Schizosaccharomyces pombe: one gene and its partners. The gene in region 4 interacts genetically with the main gene of each other region. Each region holds a gene or a part of one and is shown on either strand. Other genes may lie near its edges.

What was found.
Region 1: of mcb1 (region 4) and crm1, changing one suppresses a phenotype caused by changing the other (phenotypic suppression), as found in Schizosaccharomyces pombe (one study listed by BioGRID).
Region 2: mutations in mcb1 (region 4) and mcm4 impair growth when combined (synthetic growth defect), as found in Schizosaccharomyces pombe (one study listed by BioGRID).
Region 3: of mcb1 (region 4) and sum3, a mutation in one rescues a mutant of the other (synthetic rescue), as found in Schizosaccharomyces pombe (one study listed by BioGRID).

Annotation. Positions count from the first base shown.
Region 1 is NC_003424.3:2,802,288-2,808,772, forward strand, and holds crm1 (karyopherin/importin beta family nuclear export signal receptor Crm1), read left to right. Parts: upstream 1-1,636; 5' UTR 1,637-1,834; intron 1,835-2,100; 5' UTR 2,101-2,220; coding exon 2,221-5,457; 3' UTR 5,458-5,966; downstream 5,967-6,485. Other genes in the region: transport protein Ugo1, read right to left, coding at 6,255-6,485.
Region 2 is NC_003421.2:898,428-903,955, forward strand, and holds mcm4 (MCM complex subunit Mcm4/Cdc21), read left to right. Parts: upstream 1-1,960; 5' UTR 1,961-1,974; coding exon 1,975-4,710; 3' UTR 4,711-4,998; downstream 4,999-5,528. Other genes in the region: 19S proteasome regulatory subunit rpn1302, read right to left, coding at 1-205, 316-400, 598-728; SPOM_SPCC24B10.02C (NAD/NADH kinase), read right to left, coding at 5,123-5,528. UniProt on the Schizosaccharomyces pombe protein: Acts as a component of the mcm2-7 complex (mcm complex) which is the putative replicative helicase essential for 'once per cell cycle' DNA replication initiation and elongation in eukaryotic cells.
Region 3 is NC_003421.2:973,453-978,503, reverse strand, and holds sum3 (translation initiation RNA helicase Sum3), read left to right. Parts: upstream 1-1,790; 5' UTR 1,791-1,832; coding exon 1,833-3,743; 3' UTR 3,744-4,505; downstream 4,506-5,051. Other genes in the region: protein SVP26, read right to left, coding at 380-1,063. UniProt on the Schizosaccharomyces pombe protein: ATP-binding RNA helicase involved in translation initiation. Remodels RNA in response to ADP and ATP concentrations by facilitating disruption, but also formation of RNA duplexes. Inactivation of ded1 blocks mitotic cell cycle progression at G1 and G2/M.
Region 4 is NC_003424.3:904,918-909,299, reverse strand, and holds mcb1 (mini-chromosome maintenance complex-binding protein mcb1), read right to left. Parts: upstream 2,504-4,382; 5' UTR 2,417-2,503; coding exon 2,255-2,416; exon of another isoform or gene 2,211-2,254; coding exon 867-2,210; 3' UTR 501-866; downstream 1-500. Other genes in the region: SUMO E3 ligase Pli1, read right to left, coding at 1-376, 429-461; DNA replication factor C complex subunit Rfc4, read left to right, coding at 2,945-3,012, 3,156-3,267, 3,323-4,171; rce1 (CAAX prenyl protease), read right to left, coding at 4,168-4,382.

The DNA of each region.
Region 1 (6,485 bases), 1.9 Mb from region 4:
TGATGCTATGCTTAATTTAATTTTGTTTTGTTTTTGTTTTTTGCTGAATATATGTGTAATAAAATTAATATTAGCCGTGAGAACAGAGTAATTGGAAAACACAGAATTGAATCCAACAATTGTTACAGGGAATTAAGTAAGAAATGGTCTATATAAATACTTCTACAAATGTTATTACTTCAACATATCACAGAAAAGCAGAAACCGGTATTACAAAAAGTCACCGAAATACATAATTTATATACGGGCTTTGGCAAACAAATGCGATATTTAGGACAGTGCTGGTCGGATGAAAGCGCCTATCAATTCAAATTTTCTTCGTGCTTGATAAGGAAATGTTGCAGATAAGAATAATGAAAAAGAAGAAAAAAAAAGAATAAACAAAAGCAAAATGTTCAACAAATTTGAAAAAAATTTAGTTCAACTGTAAATCAAAAACACGTTAATTTTACATTTAAAAATGTAAAATATAATGCGGCCAGAGAGGTTCGAACTCTCGCGTTTTACAACAGCAGGGATCAAGGCAGAAGCCTCTTAAATCTGCCCCCTTAGACCACTCGGGCATAGCCGCTTAATTGTACAAACTAATTAAATAGAGGTATATATCTATAAAAATAGTTGCGTGTACTGTAAATTGTCTGGGTTTATTAGAGTATATGTACACAACCTGACTAAAATCGTATAAATTAGTTAAAAAAAATGCATTGGATTTTTTATACCTTGAGAGCCATGCCAACTCCAAAGGTCAATATTTGGTTTAATGATTTTTTTTTCCTTCCCTTTTCTTTATTTAACACACTAAATGTCGGGTAACTGCGAGTTAATAACGAACATGATCAGTTTAATTCAATTTTCATTCTTTTCTATTTCCATATAGAATTGTGGCTGTAACCGCGAAGCATTTCATACGGAAAGTCGCCTTTATTTACATAAGCAACATCTTTGTTGTGTGGCTATAGGAGTTAAAGCAAAAAAGGCGAATTACTAAAGCACAATGAAATGGCAAATCTTTAGTAATAAGTATATTATTTCGTGCCGATGTTCCATAAACTTGGTTAAAATAATTTGGAAACATGATTCTAGCTGTAATTCAATTTTTTTAAATTCATAACAATTTTTAATTTACTGAATGATAAACTTTCCTTCTGTTTTGATTTACTCGTTGACTTGTAAATTGATAATTAAACCATAAAATACCTAATAATTCATAATAAAAAAATTTAAAAAAATAAATTGATGTTTTTCAAATGACCTGTCTTTGCTAAATACTTCAAAACAAACAAACAGAAAAATCCACGTACGACACATTTATTTCTGGTTTAAACGCGGACGTTACGATCAAATTCTTACCGCATTTCTCCCATTCACGGAAACGACCGAACGTCTTACCGGAGGAAGTAAATTTTGTTTCAAAACTAATACCATTTTTTTAAAAAATTGCAATCTGCTGATACACTCAGTTTTATCGCCATCATTCTCGTTCCATTTTATGTTTACTTCATTCCCATCAATTTCTGCCTATAATCACGTTGTTAAATTTCCTTAAAATAGATAACGCAAAACGATTGGATACGCTGCATGCTTGCTATTCTTCTTCGTGTTTCTTTGCCAGCCTTGCGGCCACACCTTTTACCTCCAACACAACACTTGTTCTTTTGCATTTCTACCCTGGGACGTTAGGCAGTAGCCTTTAACTGTATACATTCTTTCATTCTCTTGTTTCCATTGAGTACAAGACAAATTTCTATCGCGTGAAGCATCTCTTGGGACGAGGAATTTCGTTATAAACAAGAGAATTTGGAATATTTATTTGGTTTTTATTTATAGTAAGGAGGTAAGCACTTTGAACGCTCGTGTAGATACGTGTTATTTTCCTTGGTCTTCTTTTAGGAAGGATCTTGTTATCTTTCGATTTCCTGTTCTTCGATCTCTTGTTTGAGTTAATTATTGTTTTTTCTCTATTATTTTTGCAAGGGAGGAGTAATTAATCAGCAAGTAGGAGATTAAAAATTTATATTATTTTGTTTCTATTCGATAAAATTAATTTTTCTTCTACTTTTTTTTATTTTTTTTTTCAAATTTCTAACTTGATTGCTGAAGTCCTTTATACATATACAATCGCATAAGGTTGAGGTAATTATCCTTTTCTTTTTACTTAAGACATTTGTTCAATACGTTGCCAACCATCAATTTACATTTTTTGCTTTTTGATTTGTAAATATGGAGGGCATCCTGGCATTCGATCGCGAATTAGACGTTGCCCTTTTGGATCGTGTTGTCCAAACCTTTTACCAAGGTGTCGGTGCAGAGCAACAACAGGCTCAACAAGTCCTGACCCAATTTCAGGCACATCCAGATGCATGGTCGCAGGCTTACTCCATCTTGGAAAAATCAGAATATCCCCAAACTAAATATATCGCTCTTTCCGTCCTTGACAAGCTTATCACCACTCGTTGGAAAATGCTTCCCAAGGAGCAGCGATTGGGAATTCGCAATTATATTGTTGCTGTTATGATAAAGAACTCGTCAGACGAAACTGTCCTGCAACAACAAAAAACTTTTCTTAATAAATTGGACCTCACTCTCGTTCAGATTCTTAAACAAGAATGGCCTCATAATTGGCCCAACTTCATCCCGGAAATTGTCCAAGCCAGTAAAACAAACCTTTCACTTTGTGAAAATAACATGATAGTCCTTCGTCTTCTGAGTGAAGAAATTTTTGATTACTCAGCTGAGCAAATGACTCAGCTCAAAACCAAAAATTTAAAAAACCAAATGTGTGGCGAATTCGCCGAGATTTTTCAACTATGCTCACAAATTCTCGAACGTGCGCAAAAACCTAGCCTAATCAAGGCTACCTTGGGAACACTTCTCCGATTTTTGAATTGGATACCCCTTGGCTATATATTTGAAACAAACATTGTTGAGTTAATTACAAATCGATTCCTAAATGTTCCTGATTTTAGAAACGTTACCATTGAATGTCTTACCGAAATAGCTAGTCTTACTTCTCAACCTCAGTACAACGATAAATTTGTTACAATGTTTAACCTTGTGATGACCTCTGTTAATTCTATGCTTCCTTTACAAACTGATTTTCGTGAGGCTTATGAAGAAAGTAGCACAAACGAGCAAGACTTTATCCAAAATTTGGCTCTCTTCCTTTGCGCTTTCTTTAGCTCTCATCTTCGACCATTAGAAAATCCTGAAAATCAAGAAGTCCTTCTTAATGCTCATTCCTACCTTCTTAATATCTCGCGAATTAACGAGCGAGAAATTTTCAAGATCTGCCTGGAATATTGGTCAAAATTAGTAGCTCAGCTTTATGAAGAAATGCAGCAAATCCCCATGTCTGAAATGAATCCATTACTTAATCTTTCTAGTCCTACATCTCTCATTTCTTCTAATCCTAATATGTTAGCCAATCTTCCTTTAAGGAAACATATCTATAAAGATATACTTTCAACTCTTCGATTGGTTATGATTGAAAACATGGTCAAGCCCGAAGAAGTCCTCATCGTCGAAAATGACGAAGGTGAAATTGTTCGTGAATTTGTTAAAGAGACGGATACAATTACCCTTTATAAATCTATGCGTGAGGTTCTTGTGTACCTCACTCACTTGGACGTGGTTGATACTGAAATCGTTATGACTGAAAAACTTGCACGTATTGTTGTTGGTACAGAATGGTCTTGGCAAAATTTGAATACTCTTTGTTGGGCAATCGGCTCAATATCCGGTGCTATGAATGAAGAAATGGAAAAGCGCTTTCTTGTTAACGTGATTAAAGATTTATTGGGCCTTTGTGAAATGAAACGTGGCAAAGATAATAAGGCTGTTGTTGCCTCTAACATTATGTACGTTGTAGGTCAATATCCTCGCTTTTTAAAAGCTCATTGGAAATTTCTCAAGACCGTCGTCAATAAGCTATTTGAGTTTATGCACGAATATCATGAAGGTGTTCAGGATATGGCTTGTGATACATTCATTAAGATTGCTCAAAAATGTCGTCGCCATTTTGTTGCTCAACAACTGGGAGAAACGGAGCCGTTTATCAACGAAATTATTCGTAACTTGGCCAAGACGACTGAAGATTTAACTCCTCAACAGACTCATACTTTTTATGAGGCGTGCGGTTATATGATTTCTGCTCAACCTCAAAAACATCTTCAAGAACGTCTCATTTTTGACCTTATGGCGTTACCCAATCAGGCCTGGGAAAATATTGTCGCTCAGGCTGCACAAAACGCTCAAGTTTTAGGGGACCCTCAGACCGTTAAAATATTAGCAAATGTTCTAAAGACAAACGTTGCTGCATGTACTTCTATTGGTTCCGGTTTCTATCCTCAAATTGCTAAAAATTATGTAGATATGCTTGGTCTTTACAAGGCTGTTAGCGGTTTAATATCAGAAGTGGTTGCTGCCCAAGGAAATATTGCTACCAAAACTCCCCACGTCAGGGGATTACGAACTATCAAAAAAGAAATTTTGAAATTAGTAGATGCTTATATAAGTCGAGCGGAAGATTTGGAGTTGGTCGGAAATACTCTCATTCCTGCGCTTTTCGAAGCAGTGTTGCTTGATTATTTACAAAATGTTCCTGACGCTCGTGATGCCGAAGTTCTTAATTTGATAACCACCATTGTCAATCAACTTAGCGAACTCCTTACTGATAAGATTCCTCTTGTTCTTGATGCTGTTTTTGGATGCACCCTTGAAATGATTAGTAAAGATTTTTCGGAATACCCCGAACATCGTGCAGCATTTTTTCAACTTTTACGCGCCATTAACTTGAATTGTTTCCCCGCTTTGCTCAACATCCCGGCACCACAATTCAAACTAGTGATCAATAGTATTGTATGGTCCTTTAAGCATGTTAGTCGCGACATTCAAGAAACCGGACTTAACATCTTACTTGAACTTATTAATAACATGGCGAGTATGGGACCTGATGTTTCAAATGCATTTTTCCAAACTTATTATATTAGCTTACTACAAGATATATTGTATGTTTTGACTGACTCTGATCACAAATCTGGCTTTAAGCTTCAAAGCTTAATTTTGGCTCGGCTTTTCTATCTGGTTGAATCAAACCAGATTACTGTACCTCTCTACGATCCTTCTCAATTCCCCCAGGAAATGAACAATCAATTATTTTTAAGACAGTATATCATGAATCTACTAGTCACAGCTTTCCCCCATCTTCAACCTATCCAAATCCAAGAATTTGTACAGACAGTGCTAGCTCTTAATCAGGACAGCATCAAATTTAAACTTGCTTTACGTGACTTTTTAATTCAATTGAAAGAATTCGGCGGGGATAACGCTGAACTTTACTTGGAGGAGAAAGAACAAGAGTTGGCTGCTCAACAAAAAGCCCAACTGGAGAAAGCTATGACTGTTCCTGGTATGATCAAACCTGTCGATATGCCTACTATGGAGGAGGAAGAACTATGATATTCTTCAGCAAAAACGTATTTAAGCTTAGAACTTTAAAATATGAAAGGAATTATATATTTGGTATCTTTTACTATTGACTTAATTGTGGATGTTATTTATCCCTGTTACTTGAGAAGTTTACTTAATTCCTTTTTTTTCTTTTTTTTTTTTTTGAAAAGCAAGAAGGGTTTTTGACATGACATGGCCCGTAATTCAACGTGTTAGATAGCAAAATGATGGCGCCAGTTGTTATTGATTGCAATTCAAACTATATAAAAAAGTAATAAAAAAGCATAAAGTCTTTAGAGATTCAACTTTCCGTGCAGTGTTGTAAATTAGAAAATTAAAGCATTGTAAGGATTTGGGTTGCCTCATTTTTTATACTGTTTATAAATTGAACGAGCAGCTATACTTGAATAACACTATGAAGTCTCGTGTAAGAGATCTCAATGCGACGTTGAAGTCCTTTTTATTGAATGCTGGCGTTATGCAACCTTGCTAAAGGAAACACCAACGTATTTTCACATAACTACGTTTTTGCTTCTAGAAAATGTATTATTACCTTTAATAAATTATGTAGCTACTACTATTCCGTTAGAGAATACGGTAAGAAAGAAAAACGAAAACATTAAACATAAATCAAACTTACAACTACAAATATGACTATTCGTGTAGTAATTTGGAATAAAAAAAATTCCAAATTACAAAACATCACCTAACTAAAACCTTTTTGAGAATTCCGTAATTTACCATGTGAACTTTCGTCTCTTCTGACTTTGTCTAATAAACAGACAATCAGACCCAAAACCTGAATACTAAAATTCAACTTCTTCACGCAAATTAGAGGAGATGTAGTTCAATGCTAAGGTACTCGACATTCCCCAAATACCCACTCGCCATCCACGATACAAACCTTCTATTCCAAATTTACCCGGATCTTCTTCGCTTAAAAGACACCATATGGTACCGACGATACCAGTGTATTTGCCTACGGGAACGATAGTTTGGGGTGGAAGGTTGCATTCATACTGGGCTTGTGCTCTTCG
Region 2 (5,528 bases), on a different chromosome or scaffold from region 4:
AGTTGATAGTCCGAGTCGTATTCACAGGGTCAGCAATTAATTGATTGATTAAGGAAGCTGTTTCCTTGTCTTTTTCATCACTATACTCCTGCATCCAGTAAAAATGAATCTGCGAAGAGGATTTAAATTTTAGTGCATATACGCGTCCCGTGGTACATTCATCAATTTTGATAAACTCTGCTTCTTCTGGAAATATGATGTAGTCCTTCATTATATGTTAGTAAACATAAACCAAATTAAAAAAAAAAAAACGCAAAAGTAAATTTATATATATAAATAGGTATACTTTGCAATTGATTTAAATTGTCTTCATACATCTTCTACTTCTCTAGAAACCCTGGCCCTTTCTTTCCAATAGAAATGCAATAATTCATCAGAAGCCATTTGCATATAGATAACTCTAAACAAATGTCAGTATTAAAAATCAGATCTTTTAACTTTATAAACAGAAAACAATTCCACAAAACCCAACAGTGTGGATTTTCACGCATCCTTCCAACGTAAACATGCAAAGAAGCTTCATAAACAATTCTTTGGGTAGAATTTCGTTTTCCCAGTAGAAAGGACTACTATCTATATTATTATTATAGTACATACCCTTTTCGGTGATCAGCTTGCAGAATATTCGTTCCTGGCTTTCTTTGAAGTTTTCCAGCTTTTACGGAGACTAATCCATACTTTCCTCTCTCGCTAGTCTCGTTTCTTACTCTTCCAAAAACTGATTCCATTTGTAATTTATTTTTTGTCAACTCAAAAGCTCACGATTATTGACCTTGTGAATTGTTGTGGTATAGTTGAGTATGCAGTGTACACAGTGCAAGTGAGCAAAGTAATCCACACAAACGTATCATGTCTATAGACATGATTTCTCAAAATCATTTAATTTTCTAATTGTCGCCACTATAATCATCTTTTATCATGTAATAGACAATCTTTTTAGGTGGTTAACTGCTCTAATATTTGAAGCTGATTTATCAAGCCGCATTTGATGGTTTCGCCTAAAAAGATGTTTTAATAGCAAATTAATACTACACTTTAAAAGGAAAAGGAACGTTCCACTATGCAGTGGAATTCATCTCTTAAAGGGCCTTGAAAAGACATAAGCCAATTTTTGTATCATCGTTAATGGCATCAATAGTAAAACAGAATAAACCAGTTTTCACCAATTATACATAGAAGAAAATCAAGATACAATAAATGTCTATAATCCTTTCAGGTTTTGAAGAGCAAAACATAATCGAGAAAAAGTATGCGTCCTACACAATGGTATTTCACTAGAAATAATAGAAAAATACATTCATACACTATTTGAAATTCACACCATATAACTCATAATATACAGACTTAAGTTTTTTTTATTAGAGACAGTCCAGTAGTCGAATGGTCAAATGAACTCTACAAATGGTTAATATAATAACAACTCAGGTATTCAATATGAGAGAAAATTCAAAATAAACCTTATTTTAAGAAATATTATTAGTAAAATTACTAAATCACCATCTGCCCTCTTCAATTAGCGTCAAATCACAGTTAATAGATTCGACCTTCAAATACAACTGGTAGTTCCAAATTGCAAAAACGATCATCTCAAAATGTTAAACTAGCATAACGTTTAATTAAAGCAATGTAATCCTTTATTTCAACATTCTTTTCATATTTCTCTTCATTCGTCCAAAAAAATAGAATATCACTTAAAAGGAAGTAAGTCAATAACAAATTCATAATACCTTATTTATGATAACAAATTTGCTTTAATTGATCCTAATATCTAGTGTCGCAAAGTTTTTTAGTTTACATTTTCATAGTCAATTACTGGTAGCTTGATGATCAATGGAGAATATGACAAATTGTTAAAAAATTATACAAATTTCCAATTATTTAAATCTTTGCTATGCTATTTATCTCTTCATTGTTGTATGTTTATGAGTAGTTACTCTACTCCCTTACACTGTCTTTCTACACCCACCACGAGTCATGTCCTCTAGTCAGCAAAGTGGCAGAGCCAATGAGTTGAGGACTCCTGGAAGAGCTAACAGCTCTTCAAGAGAAGCAGTGGATTCTTCTCCGTTATTTTTTCCTGCTTCGTCTCCTGGTTCTACACGCCTTACAACACCGAGGACTACAGCGCGTACACCTCTCGCTTCCTCTCCTTTACTGTTTGAATCTAGTTCACCAGGTCCAAACATTCCTCAGAGTTCACGTTCTCATCTTTTATCTCAGCGTAATGACTTGTTCCTTGACAGTAGTTCGCAGAGAACACCGCGCTCGACAAGACGTGGAGACATCCATTCTAGCGTGCAAATGTCTACCCCATCTCGTCGAAGAGAAGTTGACCCTCAACGTCCCGGGGTAAGCACTCCTAGTAGCTTGTTGTTTTCTGGGTCAGATGCACTCACGTTTAGTCAGGCGCACCCAAGCAGTGAAGTAGCTGATGACACTGTCCGTGTCATTTGGGGAACAAATGTATCTATTCAAGAAAGTATCGCTTCCTTTCGTGGATTTCTACGTGGGTTTAAGAAAAAGTATCGACCTGAATACAGAAATGAACTTATGCCACCTCCTGATGCCGAACAACTAGTGTATATTGAAGCGCTACGAAACATGCGTATTATGGGTTTGGAAATATTAAATCTTGATGTTCAGGATTTAAAGCATTATCCCCCAACCAAGAAGCTATATCACCAGCTTTACTCATACCCTCAAGAAATCATTCCTATCATGGATCAAACCATTAAAGACGTTATGCTAGACTTGTTAGGAACTAATCCTCCCGAAGATGTTCTTAATGACATTGAGCTTAAAATTTACAAAATTCGTCCTTTTAATCTTGAAAAATGCATTAATATGCGTGATCTTAATCCTGGTGACATTGACAAATTGATCTCTATTAAAGGTCTGGTACTTAGGTGTACACCTGTAATACCCGACATGAAGCAAGCATTTTTTCGATGTTCAGTTTGTGGTCATTGTGTTACCGTGGAAATCGATAGAGGGCGAATTGCTGAGCCCATAAAATGCCCTAGAGAAGTCTGTGGTGCTACAAATGCAATGCAGCTAATTCATAATCGTTCTGAATTCGCCGATAAGCAAGTTATTAAACTCCAAGAGACACCTGACGTGGTACCGGATGGCCAAACCCCACACTCTGTAAGTCTGTGCGTATATGATGAACTGGTTGACTCTGCTAGAGCAGGAGATCGTATAGAAGTCACTGGGATTTTTCGCTGTGTACCAGTTCGTTTGAACCCTCGCATGCGTACTGTAAAATCATTATTTAAAACTTATGTCGACGTTGTTCACATAAAAAAGCAGGACAAACGTCGTTTGGGTACGGATCCTTCTACGTTGGAAAGCGATATTGCTGAAGATGCTGCTTTACAAATTGATGAAGTACGGAAAATATCAGACGAAGAAGTGGAAAAAATTCAACAAGTTTCAAAGCGGGACGATATATACGATATTCTTTCCCGGTCTCTGGCACCTAGCATTTACGAAATGGATGATGTTAAAAAGGGGCTTTTGCTACAGCTATTTGGTGGAACGAACAAGTCTTTTCATAAAGGCGCAAGTCCGAGATATCGTGGAGACATAAATATCTTGATGTGTGGTGATCCATCTACGTCTAAGTCTCAAATTTTGAAGTATGTCCATAAGATAGCACCCAGAGGTGTTTACACTAGTGGCAAGGGTTCATCTGCTGTTGGTTTAACTGCCTATATTACTCGTGACCAAGACACGAAGCAACTAGTCTTGGAAAGTGGTGCTTTGGTACTGTCAGATGGGGGCATTTGCTGCATTGATGAGTTTGACAAAATGTCCGATGCTACACGTTCTATTCTTCATGAAGTTATGGAGCAGCAAACCGTTACAGTTGCCAAGGCTGGCATTATTACTACTTTGAACGCTAGGACTTCTATTTTAGCTAGTGCAAATCCAATTGGAAGCAAATACAATCCAGACTTGCCTGTCACCAAAAATATTGATCTTCCGCCTACTCTCTTATCTAGATTTGATTTGGTGTATTTAATATTAGACCGCGTGGATGAAACGCTGGATAGGAAGCTCGCAAATCATATTGTTTCTATGTACATGGAAGATACTCCTGAACATGCTACAGATATGGAGGTCTTTAGTGTGGAATTTTTGACAAGCTATATCACATATGCTAGAAATAATATTAATCCTGTCATTAGTGAAGAGGCAGCAAAGGAACTAGTGAATGCTTATGTTGGTATGCGAAAGCTTGGGGAGGATGTGCGAGCATCTGAGAAAAGAATTACTGCTACAACAAGACAACTGGAATCAATGATTCGTCTATCTGAGGCCCATGCGAAAATGCATCTTCGCAACGTTGTTGAGGTAGGAGATGTTCTTGAAGCTGCTCGCTTGATTAAGACCGCTATTAAGGATTATGCAACTGATCCTGCAACAGGAAAGATTTCTCTTGACCTAATTTATGTTAATGAAAGAGAGACTTTGGTACCTGAAGATATGGTCAAAGAACTGGCGAATTTAATTTCAAATTTAACTGTGGGTGGAAAAACTATGTTGGTCAGTCAATTGTTAACTCGGTTTCGTGAGCAGAGTTCTACTCGCTTAGATGCTTCTGATTTCGAAGCTTGTCTGGGTGCTTTGGAAAGGCGAGGACGTATTAAGGTTATTACCAGTGCTGGACATCGCATTGTACGTTCAATTGCACAGACTGATTAATTTTTTAGCGAATAAGCTGGTATTATTCATGAGCCATAAACCATAGGTCGTTGTTGAAAATCAAAGACTACAGAGCATAATACGAATGTCTTTCTTGTTATATATACACACGTTCTTTTTGTTATAAAAATATTTTACATATTTATCGAGGGATCCTTAACATTCATTTTTCTTTTTTTTTTCGGCTTTTGAGTATGAACTGAACAATGAGTAAACATTATGAATATAAATTCGTTAATACCAAAGTTGAAATAATAATAATAATAATAATTAACATAAACTTTCAAAAAACTAACAGATATCTAAACAATCGTAACCAATAATTCGCCATGATTCGTAGAGGCAGTGTGTGCCTAATTTTAAGTATTTTCAACAGTAGTCAGATGTCATTAAAAGAAAAATGGATAGCAATTTAACCATCAATGTCTGCAGAAAATTCTCTGCAATAGGAATTATCTGTAATATCAAATTTATCGTCACTTGTATCCTTAACATCACTCAAGCTTGGTTTTCTAGAAAAGGGCTTTTGACGCTCACGCACATTCCAATTGAATTTATCTTCTAATACCTTGGTCCATTGGTATCCTGGATTTTGAATGGTTGTGAAAGGGTAATGAGACGTAACAATTGATAAATAGTCGCCTCTATGCATCTCCACAGATTCATGACGGTCAACGGAAAAGAATGCACTACTTCGAGAATCCAAAGGGATCTCAACGTTCAAAACATTGTAATCTGGTAAAATAATAGGACGGAAAGAAAGCGTATGAGGACAAACTGGTGTTACTAAAATCGCATTTAGTGCAGGATGTACCAGA
Region 3 (5,051 bases), on a different chromosome or scaffold from region 4:
GAACAAGACGTAAAAAACTCCGTTTCATATGAATATGAAAAGGCGTCATCTATTTCCTTTAAATGCATTTTCTACACGTCCGAGATGAAATTTAAGTCAAATTGACAATACAATTTCCATGTTGAAAAAAATAACAATAGGCAATCCTAAAGAACAACGACAAAACGTAAAAGAAGGATAATTTTGTTCGCTCAAACTGACCGAGAAAAAGTTAAAGTGTTGATGAAGAAAGTATGAAGAAAACTATATACAAAATAAAAGTCGAAAAAAAAAAGAGATGCAACATGTTGTGAGTAAATGATCACATAAGAAGTACAGACATTACAGTAAAGTTAAACGAATCCTTAATTTAAAAAGACAAGCATCCCTCAAACTCAACTCAGACGTAACGTTCACTTGAACGATCACTCAACCCCAAAGAGGTAAGACTACGTTCGACGAAGATACCTAACTTTTTATAAGCTTGTCGAAGTACATTCGACGTCCGACGAGATGATCCAGAAGAATAAGCATCAGGGGACGAGGAAGACGGGGTTGTAATGGTAGGAAGTGTATTGTCAGCAGCGGTAAAGGAAACAAAAATACCAATAGGAACAGACCATACGCATACCCCCATAAATGAAGCAACTTGTGAAAAGGAAGCACGAGAGGTCAAAAGGCGTTGACCAACAAAATCGTAAGTGAGTCCACGAGGTTTAATAGGGAATTCATGCACCTGGAAAAAGCGGACCCATAAGATATGATTCGCGACAATAAGGAAACATGCTAGCAAAAATCTCATTCTCTTAAATGAGAAGAAAGGAAAGGTATCAAAGTTGATTTTATAAATGTAATGACTGAAAATGGAGAATGCCGAGAGCCAAAAAGGAAAACCATCAAATATAACCAAAAACACCATTACCGCCATAATAAAATAAACCAACCGACATAAAAACGCCTTTGCGAGCCTAGAGTGCTCTTCTACAAACTCTGAAATGTAATACAAAGCTGATGCGATACTCACGGTCATGCCTATGAATCCCAAAACGATACCCAAGTACGACAGAGCATTAAGGACAATCATTTTGAAAAACGCTTTTAATTATGTCGTATCTAATAATCTTAACAAATGTGATTTTCTTTGGACTTCTTCAATATAGATAAATATGTTCGGATTTGTCGAATAAATACGGTTTTAATGCACAGCACCGCTTACAAAGCTTCTGCCTAAAGGTTTTAGCAATTTCTTAAGTTGCAAGGCACAATAAAAATATCAATTTCTATATTTTGTAGTATTGGTTGGTATGGGAAGACAGCAAAACCATGGCTGGTACTCCTGAATATCACTACGACCTTAAACAGAAAGCAAACTGTATGCTAATAATTGTAAATTTGAAAGTTGAATTTTCTTATTCCAATTAAAATGATTAATATGTATACTAAGTCTGCTATTTAGAGACGAGCATAACGGTGGTTTTTAGTTTTGGTGAGTGGCAATCGTGTACCTACATTACGGTGCCTAAATGTTTAGTTATATAGATTATAAATATATTTATATAGTAAAACCTTTCAATTAATTTTTATTCTTTAACGTAGTCAGATGATAGCACGTGTACTGACTTAAGGTTTCAAAAAAACTATTAATACCCATACATATTGGTATCAAAATTAACTAAAAAATAATTTTAAATTGTTTAAATGACTTTTTATCCTTGTTAAAAATTGTTTTCGTTGACATATCTAATTTGCTGAGGGGTTAAAAAGGGCAGTCCCATCGTGTATTTGGTAGCATTTAATGGCCAACTTAACCTAACCTCAACCAAACACTTCAACTCAGAAATACAAAAAATATTATGAGCGACAATGTACAGCAACAAGTAGATTCAGTTGGTTCTGTGACTGAAAAATTGCAAAAAACAAACATCAGCAGACCTAGGAAGTATATTCCTCCTTTTGCTAGGGATAAGCCAAGCGCTGGCGCAGCTCCAGCTGTTGGCGACGATGAGTCTGTCTCATCTCGTGGCTCTTCTAGGTCTCAAACTCCTAGTGAGTTTTCCTCTAACTATGGAGGTCGCCGTGAATACAATCGTGGCGGTCATTATGGTGGTGGCGAGGGCCGCCAAAATAATTACCGTGGCGGTCGTGAAGGTGGTTACAGCAACGGCGGTGGTTATCGTAACAACCGTGGATTTGGCCAATGGAGAGATGGTCAACACGTTATCGGAGCCCGTAACACTCTTTTGGAGCGTCAATTATTTGGTGCCGTTGCTGATGGTACCAAAGTTTCAACTGGTATTAACTTCGAAAAGTATGATGACATCCCTGTTGAAGTTTCCGGTGGAGATATCGAGCCTGTTAATGAGTTCACTTCTCCTCCTTTGAACTCTCATCTTCTTCAAAACATTAAACTCTCTGGCTACACTCAGCCCACCCCAGTTCAAAAGAACTCCATTCCTATTGTCACATCCGGACGTGATTTGATGGCCTGTGCCCAAACCGGTTCCGGTAAGACTGCTGGTTTCTTATTCCCTATTCTTTCTCTTGCTTTCGATAAAGGACCTGCCGCTGTTCCTGTTGATCAGGATGCCGGTATGGGTTATCGTCCTCGCAAAGCCTATCCTACCACCCTTATTTTGGCTCCCACTCGTGAATTAGTTTGTCAAATTCATGAGGAATCTCGTAAATTCTGTTACCGTTCTTGGGTGCGTCCCTGTGCTGTTTACGGTGGTGCCGATATTCGTGCTCAAATCCGCCAAATTGACCAAGGTTGCGACTTGCTTTCTGCTACTCCTGGTCGTTTGGTTGATTTAATCGATCGTGGTCGTATTTCTTTGGCCAACATTAAGTTTTTGGTGTTGGATGAAGCTGATCGTATGCTGGATATGGGTTTCGAGCCTCAAATTCGTCACATTGTGGAAGGTGCTGACATGACAAGCGTTGAAGAACGTCAAACTCTCATGTTTTCTGCCACTTTCCCCCGTGATATCCAACTTTTAGCTCGTGACTTTTTAAAGGATTATGTCTTCTTGAGTGTTGGTCGTGTCGGTTCCACTTCGGAGAATATTACTCAAAAGGTCGTACACGTTGAAGATTCTGAAAAGCGTAGTTACTTGCTTGATATTCTTCACACCTTACCTCCTGAGGGTCTTACCTTGATCTTTGTAGAGACTAAACGCATGGCTGACACACTTACCGACTATTTGTTGAATAGCAACTTCCCCGCAACAAGCATTCACGGTGACCGTACCCAACGTGAGCGTGAGCGCGCTTTGGAATTGTTCCGCTCTGGCCGTACTTCCATTATGGTCGCTACTGCCGTCGCCAGTCGTGGTTTAGATATTCCCAATGTCACGCATGTTATTAACTACGATTTACCTACTGACATTGATGACTATGTGCATAGAATTGGTCGTACCGGTCGTGCTGGTAACACTGGTCAAGCTGTTGCGTTTTTCAACCGTAACAACAAGGGTATCGCTAAGGAATTGATTGAGTTGTTGCAAGAGGCCAATCAAGAGTGCCCCAGCTTTTTGATCGCCATGGCTCGTGAAAGCAGCTTTGGTGGTAATGGACGTGGTGGCCGTTACAGTGGTCGTGGTGGTCGTGGAGGCAATGCTTATGGTGCTCGCGACTTCCGTCGCCCTACTAATAGTAGTAGTGGTTATAGCTCTGGCCCTAGCTACTCTGGATACGGTGGCTTTGAAAGCCGTACTCCTCATCATGGTAACACTTACAACAGTGGTAGTGCTCAATCCTGGTGGTAAATTTCCTAAAAAAATATTTTTATTGGGTTACGTGCATCTGTGTTATGCACAGGCTTCTGATGATTTCCTTTAGTCAGAGGCCGAAGTATTGTGTCCATTGTTTTGCTGACATTTGCAAAGCGCGAGGATGTCAGAAAGGGCGAAATATTTGGCTTTAATTAACTGTGATTGAGTGAGTTGCACGAAACGTCTTTTGTTTAGGTCCGGTTTTTTTCATTTTTAAGCTGGGCTTGGACGGATGCTCATTGGGTGTGCTTTTTAATCGTTGCGGTTGTGGAAGCGTTATGTAAAAACGATCCGGCAAAATTTAGTATGCGGTGTTGTGTTTTATTGCATAATAAGATGAGGCGAAAGTTTCAGAAGTCAATGCGTGCATGATTTATTCACGGGACTTTTTAAATAGAATATGCATATTTGAAACATTTGCATTGACGAAATGGATGTACGAATACGACGGGCATACAAAATGACATATATTATACATATTTTATATATATCTATTGATATGTTGAAAATTTCTACAGGCTTTGAGCTCATGATTTTAAAAATCAATGATGGATCTTTTTTTACGAGTCTGTGTTTCTTTTTTTCGAGAGAACTTGGAAATAGGTTAGTGTCTCTCTTTTGTTGGATTGTGGTTCTTGGGTAATATTTCTTTAGGAAAAGGTTTACGATTCTGCAATTTGTAATAATAGGATGCGCGCTAGAGCAAATTAATAAATTTTATTGCAATAATAAACTATACACATGTTATTAGGCAAATTAGTTATTAGTAAAATTAAGGAATGTAATTAGTGATATGTACAGTCAGAAATACTAGAAATATATACGAAAGATTAAGTAACGCAGCTACAATGATCACTGATACAGAAAGTATTTAAGGGTCTAGTTGGACTAGACAATTGTTTATTTATTGTGTCGCAGTAGTCACAATCAAAAGAAATAATTAAATAAAAAATTAGAAATAAATGGTGAACCACTTGGACCTATATGCTTTGACGACATACATATTAATAAGTGAGGACAATGTCAAGGGTAACTTAAGTAAATGTTGAAGAAAAATGCTTGATGATTATGTTTTTACGTTCTCAATTAAATAAGTAACTTTTCAATTAATTGAAAAACGAATATTAATGAGTAACCATGACTAGGATTAAAAGAATAAACAACCATACTTAAACTTAGTATTCAATAGATTGTTGAGATTAAAGAGAACAAAAATTAAGGAAACAGATCACAGCACAATTTCATCAAAAAATTGCAATTTTTCTTCGTTTTTCTTTATGTTTTTATATAATATAAAAAATT
Region 4 (4,382 bases):
GTGCATTGAATTGTTCCAAAATGTCATAAAAGGGACTTTTTCGAAATCGTATTCGCGAATGAACAACTGGGGCGAAAGGACGGCTGTATGATCTATTTCCAGAAGCTGAACTAGGTGGAGCAATTGGAGCAGCAGCACTATATATCTGATATGTGTTGTACTTTAAGATACATACGGCACTTGTAACATCGCCATCGATTGCCTTTTTCAATGCTTCCCAAGAGGTTGTGTTGTTTTCTATAGCTATCCTCTCTATTAGTTGTTTAATTCTGGTAATGAGCTCAGCTTTTGTTCCTGAAAGACGAAGTCCAAAAACACGAAGTATATCTTTCAGTTGAGGTATAATAAGACCAGTTTCCAGTCGCTTTAGTACATTCTAAACATTCATTTTGTTAGTTAACTTGTAAATATCTTATTATTGGGCTTACTGGAAGCTCCTGTAAAAAGTTCGCCTGGTTCATTGAGTTTTTAGACTGCTTGCCTAAACCGTCGATTTACACATATGTTATATGCAATGACTGCTTCCGTATAGGTATTTGAAAGACAAAGAAATCAAATTTTAGCTAAAAATACAATGAATTATATTTATTCCTTGAATCTCTGCAAACGCCTGGTTGGCAAAACTTGAATTTAATATTTGAAGATAAGGAAGTATATGGCAGTGCGGTATGTGATAATGTAAGAAAACAAAAAAAAAACGGGCAAGTGAGCTTTACTTGTAGTAATAATTAAATAACAATATAAATGAACTTTTGATGAATTTGATCGAATGAATGAGGAAATTAACTTGGAAATTCCAAAAAGACATGAAAAGTAATTTCTAACATTGGTTAAATGATGTTGATTATAAGAAAATATGCGATCAATCAGTTGACAGTCCAATGATTGATTAGACTACGGGCAGCCTCAAAATCAATTCTTGAAACCAGTTGACGACCGAAACTCTTCGCGTAGAGACGAGAGCAATTGATCTGTAATGAAAGTGTTTTTTCATTGATTTCTTTATTATATTGACGGGAGCTCACATATGTAGATTGAATATAATCCAGCATGTTTTCGGGAATATTAGCACGCATGTTCCACATGTGAAAAAAATTACAAAACTCTTGCAGCTCATCCGAATCAGTTGGAAATTCAATAGTGTCCGGAGAATCGCCTCTACATCTACAACCGACATCAGCTGGCAAAATAGATCTTCCATGGCTTAATATAATTATTCGAACATTACTGTGAACGGTAAAAGAACTGAAAGGATAAAAAAATGTTAAATCCTGTTGAGATATTAGGGAAGACAAAAACTGAACGTTACGGCATCCGACATCGTTTAAGGTTCCACTCGATAGTTCAGTTTCATCAAGAACTATAAGGGTGCCAGGAGCCACTTGCAAATGGCTAGTATCTAATGTCTCTCCATCACTCAAGGGATAAAGCGGCTTCCTGTTAAGCTCGGCGACATTAACTTTTTGAATCACCATTCTTTTTATCAAAGGCCGTAACACAGAAACTAACTGGGACACTAATTCAGAGGTGCAATTTGTTAAATTTAAAGTAAAACCACCTATAACCAAACCAGTGGTTTTATGAACAACGTTGGAAAGAAGAGCAAGCATAAGACTTTCCGCAGCTATATTTTCACCAAGGACTTTTTCAAAATATTTTAATATTTTTGGTCGAATGATCTCAGCTTGCTGAGGAGAAGGGGCTTGAGTAGCTGATTGCGTATAATCCTTAAAACATAACATGTGTAAAATGGGTAAACCATCCGAGTATTCACTTGGTTCTTCATAAATTCCAATAACATCGATTGCTTGACAAACTTGAACTTTAGTTTCCATTCCGCCATAGCATTTAACACAAACGCCGGTATCATTACTTGCTTGTAAGCGGTTTGAGTACTTCAATGACCGTTCTTTCAGACTCTCGCTTCCCCAGTTTCCCAAAGCTTCTATAACAGGAAGAGTTCTTTCTCCAGGAACATTTGTCAGAAACAGTGAATATCTTTCATCTAGGACAATTTTAGATTCATCTAAATGCATTTCATCTTCGCTGAAATCAAGTATGTATCTACAGCCTCTCCAAATGTTTTCATTTACCTCTACAGCTCCAGCAAAAAATTCATGCCCAAAATTGGTGTCTTGCACCATACCTTGAAGACGAAGTAGTTGACCAGTCTTTAACTCAGACCATTTGCAGTCAAGATAGTTTGGAATCTAAATATTCAGTGTCAAATAAGAGAAAAAACCACTTAACAAACCTTTCTTATTCTTTCCTCTGTAGCGAAAATATTAGAAACTTCTTCATCGATGCCTAAAGTGCCTTGTAAATCGGGCTTAGATCCTGCAAACAATGCATCCTGAAATCTTTGAAGAAACGATCTTGGATTTTCGATAAAAGAATCAGATAAAGCAATTACCATATTATAAATATATAATTTTATCCTTTAAACCTATTGAAACCAGTAATGATAAAAGATGTTGATATTGCAATGTGCAATGTTCATTTCACGTGAGCGGATTGACTTTAAGTACCCTTTTCTATGGCGTTGCATATACCTAACGATGTACTAATTGCTGTATAAATTCGCTTAATAAGAAGCTTAATTTATTAAGAAACAGAAGGCGTGAATTTAAAGAGTTATCTATTGCTTATTACTACTCTTAAAAGAGAAAAATATTAGAATTTTACAGATTATTGATCGTTTTTGTAATAATATAAATATATTGATGTGCTTGTTTTCATCATTTGTGTCGATTGTACAAACATATATTTTAAAGCTAGCTTTGATAGTGCATTTAAGAATAAAAAAAATTTTCAGATTTACATATTAATGCTCTTTTCTATTCGCGATGGGTGAAGTGACTACCATGCAGTGGTTAAAATACTCAACAAATTTACTAGTTCACTGGAACTCAGTACTGATGTTACTAGTTCAATAACACTGAATATGAGTAATGCAGTATCATCATCAGTATTTGGAGAGAAAAATAACTCTGTAGCTTATGAGCTGCCATGGTATGTATATATTATGAGCAATTAAAACGTCCTTTATGAAGGTTTTAGTGTTCAGCTATTACGATTGCTTCTTGGTGACTCAGGCATCTTTTCATAATTTAAAGGTTCAATATAATATAGTATGCTGATCTATAAACTTATAGGGTCGAAAAGTATCGTCCAATCGTCCTGGATGACATTGTTGGTAACGAGGAGACGATTGACCGACTTAAAGTTATTGCCAAGGAAGGGAATATGCCTCATCTAGTTATTTCGGTAACCTATTTTTTTTTAATTATTATTTATACTACATGCTGACTTATATTTATAGGGAATGCCTGGTATCGGAAAAACGACGTCTATTCTTTGTTTAGCACATGCATTACTTGGCCCAGCATATAAGGAAGGTGTATTAGAATTAAATGCTTCAGATGAACGAGGTATCGATGTAGTGAGAAATAGAATTAAAGCATTCGCACAGAAAAAAGTCATACTGCCACCTGGAAGGCATAAGATCATTATTTTAGACGAAGCAGATAGTATGACGGCTGGAGCTCAACAAGCTTTGCGTAGAACTATGGAAATCTACAGTAATACAACGCGTTTTGCACTTGCTTGCAATCAATCCAACAAAATTATTGAACCTATTCAATCGCGGTGTGCAATTCTCCGATACTCACGTCTTACGGATCAACAGGTTTTACAGCGTTTATTGAATATATGTAAAGCGGAAAAAGTCAATTATACAGATGATGGTTTGGCTGCCCTTATCATGACAGCAGAAGGTGATATGCGTCAAGCAGTGAACAATCTACAGAGCACTGTTGCTGGATTCGGTCTTGTGAACGGTGAAAACGTTTTCCGGGTCGCCGATCAGCCTTCACCTGTAGCGATACATGCCATGCTAACTGCTTGTCAATCTGGAAACATCGACGTCGCCCTTGAAAAACTTCAGGGAATATGGGATTTGGGGTTCAGTGCTGTGGACATTGTCACTAATATGTTTAGAGTAGTAAAGACAATGGACAGTATTCCGGAATTTTCAAGATTAGAAATGCTTAAGGAAATTGGCCAAACTCATATGATTATTTTAGAGGGTGTGCAAACCTTGTTGCAGTTAAGTGGTTTAGTATGTCGCCTTGCTAAGTCACAGATGAAGCCGGAGTCTTTTATTATTTAGTTTAATGGCACCAGTCTTGGTTCAAAGTCTTGATGATTATTAAAATCAGTAATACCCCAAGTCATATAAAATATCAAAACCCCTAACAATAGTAACGTGTAATAAATCCTAGTCTGATTTCTGTTTCCAATTTTTCCGTACAAAGTTGGCAGCCCCATTGAATTACAAAAAGCATGTACTAAAAATGAAGGAAATAAGCTATGCGTGGAAA